Mus musculus: one gene and its partner. The protein of the gene in region 1 purifies or fractionates together with the protein of each later gene. This does not show direct contact. Links are inferred from orthologs where the notes say so. Each region holds a gene or a part of one and is shown on either strand. Other genes may lie near its edges. The genes, in order: Casp9 and Dcc.

What was found.
Region 2: the proteins of Casp9 (region 1) and Dcc purify together in Homo sapiens (co-immunoprecipitation; 3 studies listed by BioGRID and IntAct, with this or other methods). This does not show direct contact. The link is inferred for Mus musculus from reciprocal best matches to the Homo sapiens genes CASP9 and DCC.

Annotation. Positions count from the first base shown.
Region 1 is NC_000070.6:141,792,214-141,796,592, forward strand, and holds the start of Casp9 (caspase-9 isoform 1 precursor), read left to right. Parts: upstream 1-1,398; 5' UTR 1,399-1,641; coding exon 1,642-1,773; intron 1,774-4,221; coding exon 4,222-4,379. UniProt on the Homo sapiens protein: Involved in the activation cascade of caspases responsible for apoptosis execution. Binding of caspase-9 to Apaf-1 leads to activation of the protease which then cleaves and activates effector caspases caspase-3 (CASP3) or caspase-7 (CASP7).
Region 2 is NC_000084.6:72,347,978-72,352,542, reverse strand, and holds the start of Dcc (netrin receptor DCC precursor), read left to right. Parts: upstream 1-1,473; 5' UTR 1,474-2,096; coding exon 2,097-2,187; intron 2,188-4,565. UniProt on the Homo sapiens protein: Receptor for netrin required for axon guidance. Mediates axon attraction of neuronal growth cones in the developing nervous system upon ligand binding. Its association with UNC5 proteins may trigger signaling for axon repulsion.

The DNA of each region.
Region 1 (4,379 bases):
GCCAACGTGGTGAATCTCCTTTACTTTGGGGCAACTAACCCCCTTTGAGTTTCTCATTACTGCTCTCCCCAGATTTCCTGTTTGTAAATTCACCTCAGCTGCTCCTCCCGAGTGTACATCCTATTTTATGGAAGGAAATGTTGACTGATGCCCAAATCAGGAAACAAGTGTAATATTATCGTTTGACATATTCCAAGGTGGATTCTTGGCTATGAGTCTATTCTGGTTCTGGTCACGCTGTGAGATCCCTGACACATGTCTACAGCTGTCATCAAGGAATAACTATATCCCTGTCAGGAATGTGGCATAAGGCTAGCAGAGAGAATAGCGTAAGGGGCTAGCACAATGCCCAATTACTTTTTTAAAAATGTGTTTAATTAGTTAATGCATATATGAGCACTCTGTCTTCATGCACAGAGGGAATCAGATCCCATTACAGATGGTTGTAAACCACTATGTGGTGGCTGGGATTTGAACTCAGGACCTCTGGAAGAACAGCTGGTCCTCTTTACCCTGAACCATCCATCTCTTCAGACCTTGTTCAATTACTTTTTTTAAAGATTTATTTATTTATTACATGTAAGTACACTGTAGCTGTCTTCAGACATCAGAAGAGGGTGTCATTTCTCAATACAGATGGTTGTTGAACCACCATGTGGTTGCTGGGATTTGAACTCATGACCTTCAGAATAGCAGTTGGTGTTCTTAACCGCTGAGCCATCTCTCCAGTTATTTCAATTACTTTTTAAGTCGTGGAAATAAGTGGTACAAAACTGAGAGAACATAGGATTAGATTCCTGGCAGTTTCTCTGGGGGAGGTGCTGAGGAGGGAAAGAGAGCGAGATCTAACCAATGAGCTTGGTTAGATTGAGGGCACGATAGCCCTGAAACAGCAGGCAGCAAGAGGTTTACTAGCCGCAGCGTTAGAAAGCCACAGCCAGCAAGGGACTTGAAAGATCTAGGACAAATGTCTAGGCGTGGTTTTCTTCCCTTTTCTCTCGTGATCCTTTGAGTATCTGTAGAAGTAGGGTCATTGTGAATTTTGGTAGAGCAATCGCCATGCGAGGGGAAAAGTTACAACTACCGCTAAGCAGAACCAGCAAATGGGAGCAAGATAGCAAGGCAACCACAAGGCCTGGAACCCTAGGGGAGAGTCTGGGATGCAAAGGAGGGCTTCGGGGCGGGGCGAAGGAACTCGGTAGGGCGGGATTGCTGGTCTACGAGGCGAGGAGGGGCGAGTCCTAGGGGAGAAGCGTTATCATGTGAGGCAGGTCTTAGTCCGTACGGCGAAGTGATGGGGCGGAGCTTGAATGCAGCGCCAGTGGGCGTGGCGAAGCAGCGCGGTCGTAGGGCGTGGCGAAGGGGCGGGGCCTGAGAGCGCGGCGTTGAGGGAGGTGTTGGGGGCTGGTGGTGGGGTGAGCGGCCGTGGGAGCTGTTTTGATTGCGGAGGTGGAGCCCAGTGAGCGCGAGTCACAGGCCGCGGGGCGGGGCGGGGCGGGGCGGAGCGGAGCCCAGTGGACCGGGTGACCGCTGGCCGGAGCGGGATCCCTGGAGGCGCTATGTGGGGGCGGGGCGTGGGCGCCGGGGCGGAACCCGAGGGCCGGAAGCGGACAGAACCCGGGGTCCCGCAATCGGCTCGCCATGGACGAGGCGGACCGGCAGCTCCTGCGGCGATGCAGGGTGCGCCTAGTGAGCGAGCTGCAAGTCGCGGAGCTCTGGGACGCTCTGCTGAGTCGAGAGCTCTTCACGCGCGACATGATCGAGGATATTCAGGTGCGCCCCGCCTCCTTGTGTCCGCCCTCTTTTTCCCGCGGCGCAGATAGGGACTGGGAGGTCGCTGAGAGGTTCTCTGAAGCCACTACGGAGCTCCTGCCCTTTTTTTCCGCTTTGCACCCTGTGCAATCCACGCCCTGGGAAACCATGGTGTGGGAACTCCATTTTTAAAACCTTCCCCAGTACTGCCCTCTTAGTTCGCCACAAGAATAAAATAGAAGAACCCATGCTCCTCTTTTGTGGAGTGTTTGTTAAAAGCGGTCTGTAATCTGCACCGTTTGAACTTTTATGATTTTTCTCTTCTCTAGTATAAGGGCCCTAGACACCCACTTTAGCCTTATACTGGCACATTGTACCAGTCACTTCCCGTTTTTGAATCTCAGTTTCTAGGGCTGTGAAATGGAACGGTGGTCATCCTGTCCTAGGACAAGGACATAGAATCAGGATCTGTCTTTTTTGGCTGGGCTTTTATCAAGTGCATGTTTTATAAAGGAGTTCAGAAAAGAAGGAATTTGATGCAGGTAATGCAGAAGAATAAAATCAAACATTTGATTTTTTTTAATCCACTTTCGCCCACTTAAACCTAGAGCATGAGTCACAATGTTGATGGCTTGTGTAAAGGGGTGTATTGAATTTCTACGCTATATGGATTACTGTGTGAGTGGAATTATTCTGGATCAAAATATAATGGTGGCAGTATTATTTTCATTGTACTAGAGTTCAATTTTAGCTTGATAAAATTCTGTATTACACAAGGGAAAAGGTCAACTTGTTCAAAGTCTAAAGATGAGTATGAAAATTACAGAGAAAACAGGATAGCTGTATGCATAAATGCATCTTCTATTGGAAGATACAGAGTAAAAACTCTTAAAGGACTCTAAAAAGAGAAAAAAAAAACCACTTTAGCATCTTTGTTCCAGTTGATGCCTCACCACAGGTCTGAAAAGGGAATATTTCTTTCTGAGAGGATATGAGTGCCAGGCCCTGGGGGACTGTCTACAAGGCTGTCTCCAGCATCTGTATTGGAACGTGGCTTGGTCCAGTGAAGGAGATAGAAGAAAGTGGTGTAGAGTCATGTGGTTAGCTGCCAAATAATAACAAAAGTAGGCTCAGGAACACATTTGGATGGGCCCATACTGATCAAGAAAAGTGGTTTGAAGGGAAAGTCCTAGCCTTCCAGAAGGCATATTAAGGGGGATCAGGAGCTGAACTGCCCAGAGTGGCACCAGCAGCCACTGTCTTGCTCCCTTCTCCAGCCAAGTGTGGTCAAAACAGTTCTGCCCTTGTGTTGGCAGTGGCAGATTGTTTGAAAGGAGCAGTTTGATCCAGGGGTGCCGGCATACATCTGGAATCCAAGCACTCAGGAGGTAGAGGCAGGAGGATCAGGTGTTCCCAGGGCATCCTTGGCTACATGCAGAGTTTGAGGCCAGCCTGGCTACCTGAGATGGAGTCTTCAGAAGCCAAAACTAAGGACTGAGAGCTGCCTCTGTGGATAAGAGCATTGATTTCAGTTTTCAGAACCCATGTGGTAACTCACAACTATTGACTCCAGTTCCAGGTGTTCTGACACCCTTTTCTGGCCTCCACTGGTACCATGCACACACAGTTGCCACATACAGACTCAGATAGAAAGATACATACACACGTACATACATATACACACATACATACATACATACATGCATACTTAAATACTTAAAAGCAAAATCAGAACACGAAGCCTGATGTATAGCTTGTTTGGTACAGTGCTTGTCTAGCATGCATGAATCTCTGAGTCCAATCCCCAACATAAACCAAGCCTGGTGACTCTGGAGGCAGGAGAGTCAGAAGTTCAAAGGTCATCCTCTGCTATGTAGGAAGTTGAAGGCCAGTCTTGGCTACTTGAGAATTCCTGCGCCCCCCCCCCCCCAAATATGAAAGCTTTCCCCTCATACAAAAGAGAAACTTAACTTTTCTCAAAAACAAAAATGCTGGAGATCTTGATTTCTATATCCAGTTCTCTTATTTTAATGCTAGAAACAAACTGAGAAAAATTTAAGTACCTTGTGTAAACTACTGACCACTGTTTTTGCTACTTTTAGTAGGGCTAATTAGCACTTAGCACAGCACTGGACACCCACAGTAGGTATCTTTCTGCTTTGCAGAGGGACATGAACTCAGGGCACTGCTGGATTAGGTTCTGCCCACCTACCACAGGCATATTAAGGGGGATCAGAAGCTGAACTGCCCAGGGAGGCGCCAGCAGCCTCTGATTTCCTTCAGCTAAGTGTGGTCAGAGCAGTTTCCAACCTAGTGTTGGCAGTGACAGACTGTTGCTTGTTCCAGGGGTGGTGACACACACCTGGAAGCCAGGACTCAGGAGGCAGAGGCTAGGTGAGAAATGGGAAGTAGGTTAAGGGCCACATGGAAGTCCCTGGATAATGAGTGTCTGGTTTTCTATCCAAACAGCAGGCAGGATCTGGGTCTCGGCGGGATCAGGCCAGGCAGCTGGTCACAGACCTTGAGACCCGAGGGAGGCAGGCCCTTCCTCTCTTCATCTCCTGCTTAGAGGACACAGGCCAAGGCACCCTGGCTTCACTCTTGCAAAGCGGTCGGCAAGCAGCCAA
Region 2 (4,565 bases), on another chromosome or scaffold:
ACTGCAGTGCTCTTTTCCGAGTCCTGCTAGCATCTGTGAGTGGGGCAGAGACGAAAGGCACAGGGCACCCATTGCCTGAGGAGCCTGCCTGATGATGTCTTACAGAGAGGACAAAATGTGCAAAATACCTGGGCTTGGAACAGTTTTCTCAACTTTTACTGTGTACTGCTTTCCTGAAACCTGCTCTCTCTCTCTCTCTCTCTCTCTCTCTCTCTCTCTCTCTCTCTCTCTCTCTCTCTCTCTGTGTGTGTGTGTGTGTATGTGTGTGTGTGTGTGTGTGTGTGTGTGTGTGTCTGACGCGTGTCTGGTGTGTGTATGTCTCTGTGTGTCTCTGTGTATGGGGTGTGTGTGCATGCATGTGTGTGTGCATGCATATGTGTGTGTGTCTGTGTGTCTGATGTATGTATGCATGTGTGTGTCTCTGTGTGTGTGTGTCTGTGTGTATGGTATATGTGTGTCTGTGTGTATTGGGTGTGTTTGTGCCTGCATGTGTGTGTGTCTCTGTGTGTGTCAGTGTGTGTATGTGTTTGTGTGTATGGGGTGTGTATGTGCTTGCATTTGTGTGTGTGTGTGTGTGTGTGTGTGTGTGTGTGTCTGTATGAGTGTCTGTGTATATCTGTGTGTGTTTACACACGCCTTTCCTTCACAGTCTGTCTGTCTGTCTGTCTGTCTGTCTGTCTGTCCAGGGACTGAAGAAGTCTTTCCTTCTCTGTTAACACACTCTCATCATACGGATCGGCACAGATATAATAACTGTAAACTGTCCACTGGCACTTTTATCCCAACTGATGAAAACCTCAACCCTTGGGGATGGGGATTGAGTCATGTTAAATCTCCAGTTGGTTCGTGTTTCCTGGGAGACCTTGAGGATCCCTGAATAAGGTGAGTGCTTTAAATACCTGTACTTCTGATTCACTTCTGGAGGAGAGTGAGGAAATAAAATGCGCAAGGGAAAAGGTTCTAGCTCCACTCCCAAGGAAGCAGCAGTCTCGCGTTTGTTTTCCGTGTGGGGTGTTTCTGGGCCTCTGTTTCCCACTTCTAGAAGTGGGTTGCATTAGCTGATTTTTTTTTCCTAAACGAAATGTCTTTTTTTTTTTTAACCATGCACAAGAAAGAAAGTAAAAGGCTGGCCACTTGCCCTATGTGAAACACCTGCCTAGATTTTACAGTCATACAAATAATTTCCTGAATGCTGAAGATCAAAAATGATTGCTGCAAAGCCTCCAGATGCTCATGATGTTCTCTGGCTCCATTGACAAAAGTGACTTCCCACGCTTTGCCCACAGAGGGCATCCCTGCGCATTGATATGTAGACCAGGCAAACGCAGCTGCTGGAAGCCTCCTCCGTCCGCGTTTTTCCCCCCCTAAGCTTCGCTAGGCCCCCGCCCCCCATTGCGTGGAGTCTTTCCCTGATCCAGTTCGTTTCCCTCCGGTCTCCACATTTTCCCTTCCAACCCTCCACTTCTCCGGATCAATGGATAGTAAGGTTCCAACTATCAGCTCACACACCGCTGGCGGACACCCCAGTAACAAGTGAGAGCGCTCTGCCCGGCACTCCACCGCCTCTGCCCCCTACCCGGTTCCCCAGCTCTGAGAAGCCAAACCGACAGCATCACGGGCGCGGATTTTTCTCTCCAACTTTATCCAACCGACTACAAGGAAGCAGCCTCAACCATCTAACGCATGGCCAGCCACAGGATTGCTTTGCGTCTCCTCTTTAGCCCTTCTGGATATTCTGTTCATTGATGCCTCACAAGCCCCACGGAGAGCTGTCTCCCCTTTGCTTGCTCCCTCTGCTTCCTTGAGTTAGTTCTCCAAGGTGTTACCGGGGTTCGGGAGCTCTTGGACCGAATGGAACTTTTCGTTGCGTCTTCCTGCTGCTGATTGTGTCCCTGGACAAGAAAAAAAGGCTTCGCAGGCAGAAGAGGCGCAGGGGAGGTGGAGAAAGAGGTGGAGGAAGAGGACGAGGAGGAAGAGGAGGAGGAAGCCTAGGGGGCTCGGCGCGGGTGTGTGCATGTGTGCATGCGTGTGTGAGTGCATGTGTGTGAGTGCCACCGCTGCCCAGGACCCCCGGCCCCGAAGGTGTTGGCTGAAATATGGAGAATAGTCTTGGATGTGTTTGGGTACCCAAGCTGGCTTTTGTACTCTTCGGAGCTTCCTTGCTCAGCGCACATCTTCAAGTCACGGGTAAGAGGTCTTTTCCTTTCTTCTCTTCGCTCCCCCACCCCTTACCCCTTCCCCTTCCCCTTCCCGTTTCATTTGGAGAGTAGAATTAGAGTGGAAGAGAGATACTGTATTCGGTTTTCTCTCTGCCTACCGTTTTCTCGCGAATGATAAAAGACACAAGAAGACTTTTTCCTCCTGGGGGCGGAGGATGTTGGTGGGGTCGAGGGCATCTCTTCGCGCTTTTTCAATCTTGTGCTTCTCGCTTGCGTCTTTGCTTTTACAAATACTTGTTTTGTCTTGGGGGGCAAGGTGGTGAAAGTGATGGGGATGCTGATGGGGTTGTATTCTCAGAGCCTCACAAGCCTGGAAAGGGGCTGGTGGATGGGATAACAGGAGTAAGCGGGGATGACATCAAAGGTGCTTAGAGCAAGTCTGTGCTGGCTACATCTGCTGGGGATGTTTGTGTGAATACATGCGACCCTGGCTTTGCATTTTTTTTTTTTTTTGTACGTGCTGATTGAGAATCGAGAAAGAGACATATCCGTTTTGAGTACTTTGGGTGAGTGCATAGCGGTGCTTGAAGAAGAGGGGAAGAGGTGGCAGATGAAGGGATATGTATTTGAGATTTTAACGGTGGGTGAATGCTGTTTGCTAGTTAAGTCTCCAAATACCTCCAAGACACCTCCAAACTCCAAATGATGGATATTCTGGGAGACAGGCCTCCGGACCTCACTTGGCAAGCGTATTTTCTAATTAAAAATGGCAAAACTGTTGCGGGGCTAGACGAGGAGAAAGAAAGATCCTAAGGCTGCTCCCTGGGTGCTGCAGTCTCCGAATGCGGAGCTGAGGCTTCTTTCTGTGGCCGAAAGAATAAAAACGAACAAAGTGATAAGATTTTCTCGTTTTGCGGGACACCACCACAAGTAGGTGGGCACTGAGTAGAGGTTGCTGGTCTGCTGGGGAAAGACAGGACAGCTGCTGCGTGAGCATGCAAGTCCCTTCGGAATCGACCTTTCCTCCCATCCAAAGAGCGCCTCGGCTGGGGCCAGGAGTTAGAGAGGAGCGCCCCAACCTGTGCCTCCGAAATTAACAGGGAATAAAATTAAATCACAGCAGTCAAGTCCCCTGTCTCCCCGGAGTCCTAAACTCCGGCTGTCTGGTCCCAGTTGCAGAATCAAGGGTTGCGAACACAAGCAGAGAAGGCGTTGCTTCACGGTGTGGCAAGGGATTCAGGCCATGAAGCGAGCACCGAGCCAGCATTCAGGATTAACGCGAGCCCAGGCTCTGGGCTTTAATCCTTCTGTAGGCAGCCAGAGCGAGTCAGTCTCTCTCTCTCTCTCTCTCTCTCTCTCTCTCTCTCTCTCTCTCTCCCTCCCTCTCTCTCTCTCTCTCTCTCTCTCTCTCTCTCTGTGTGTGTGTGTGTGTGTGTGTGTGTGTGTACGCTTGAGTGTATGTGGTGTGTGTGTGTGTGTGTGTGTGTGTGTGTGTGCTTGCGTGCTGTGCGATGCCTATGATGCGCGCGCTTACCCTCACCCTCAGTTCAGTTGCCGGCCCTCCCTCCTCCCTCTGGGCGGTCCCCTCCTCCCTGGCTCATCTCTCCCAGAGCTTTGTCCTCTGTAATTACTCCCTTTGAAGGTGGGAGGTAGGTGTGGAGAGGGTAGGGGGTAGTTTATTCTTGTGGTAATAGAAAGTGTTAAAAATGCCCTCTTTAAACTGCAAATGCCGAGGGGCAGAGCAAGCTACATCTTTCTTGTACCCAGAAGGAGACTTGTGGTCTCCCTGGCACTTTGGGAGCACCTGGACAGAAAGGGAAGTTCAGAGATGCTCCTTACTAAGCAGAAAGCCCATCAGAGGAGAGAGAGAGAGAGAGAGAGAGAGAGAGAGAGAGAGAGAGAGAGAGAGAGAGAGAGAACCATAGTTGACAATATTGAATTAAGCCAAGTGTGCAAAATAGACAATGTTATCACTTATGCAATATTTTAAAGCCATTGCCAAATGATCATTTCCCTGCAAAAACTCGTGGTAGATGAATGGAGATAGATTCAATATGTTTTATTAATCCTTATAATAACATCACCTTCCTATTCATTTAGGGATTTGTTTGTTTGTTTATATTTAGTCATTTATTTGTCACGTTTTTATTTCAATTATTACCTTCTCAAACTTTTCTCTTCGTAGACAAATCTAACAACAACAACAACAACAAAACCCCTACACAAAAATATACATGTGTAAGGAAAGTGCCGGTGAATGACCTGTGCTGATCATTGTTCTAAACTTCTCCACGTTTCTAAAAACATTTGTGTTATTTGAAAACGAAGGCAATGTGCTTTGTGCAGGTCCCAAGTCTGTGGGTGGCGTGCTTTGAAGATTTTGCTAATTCAGTCACTCTCCTCTTC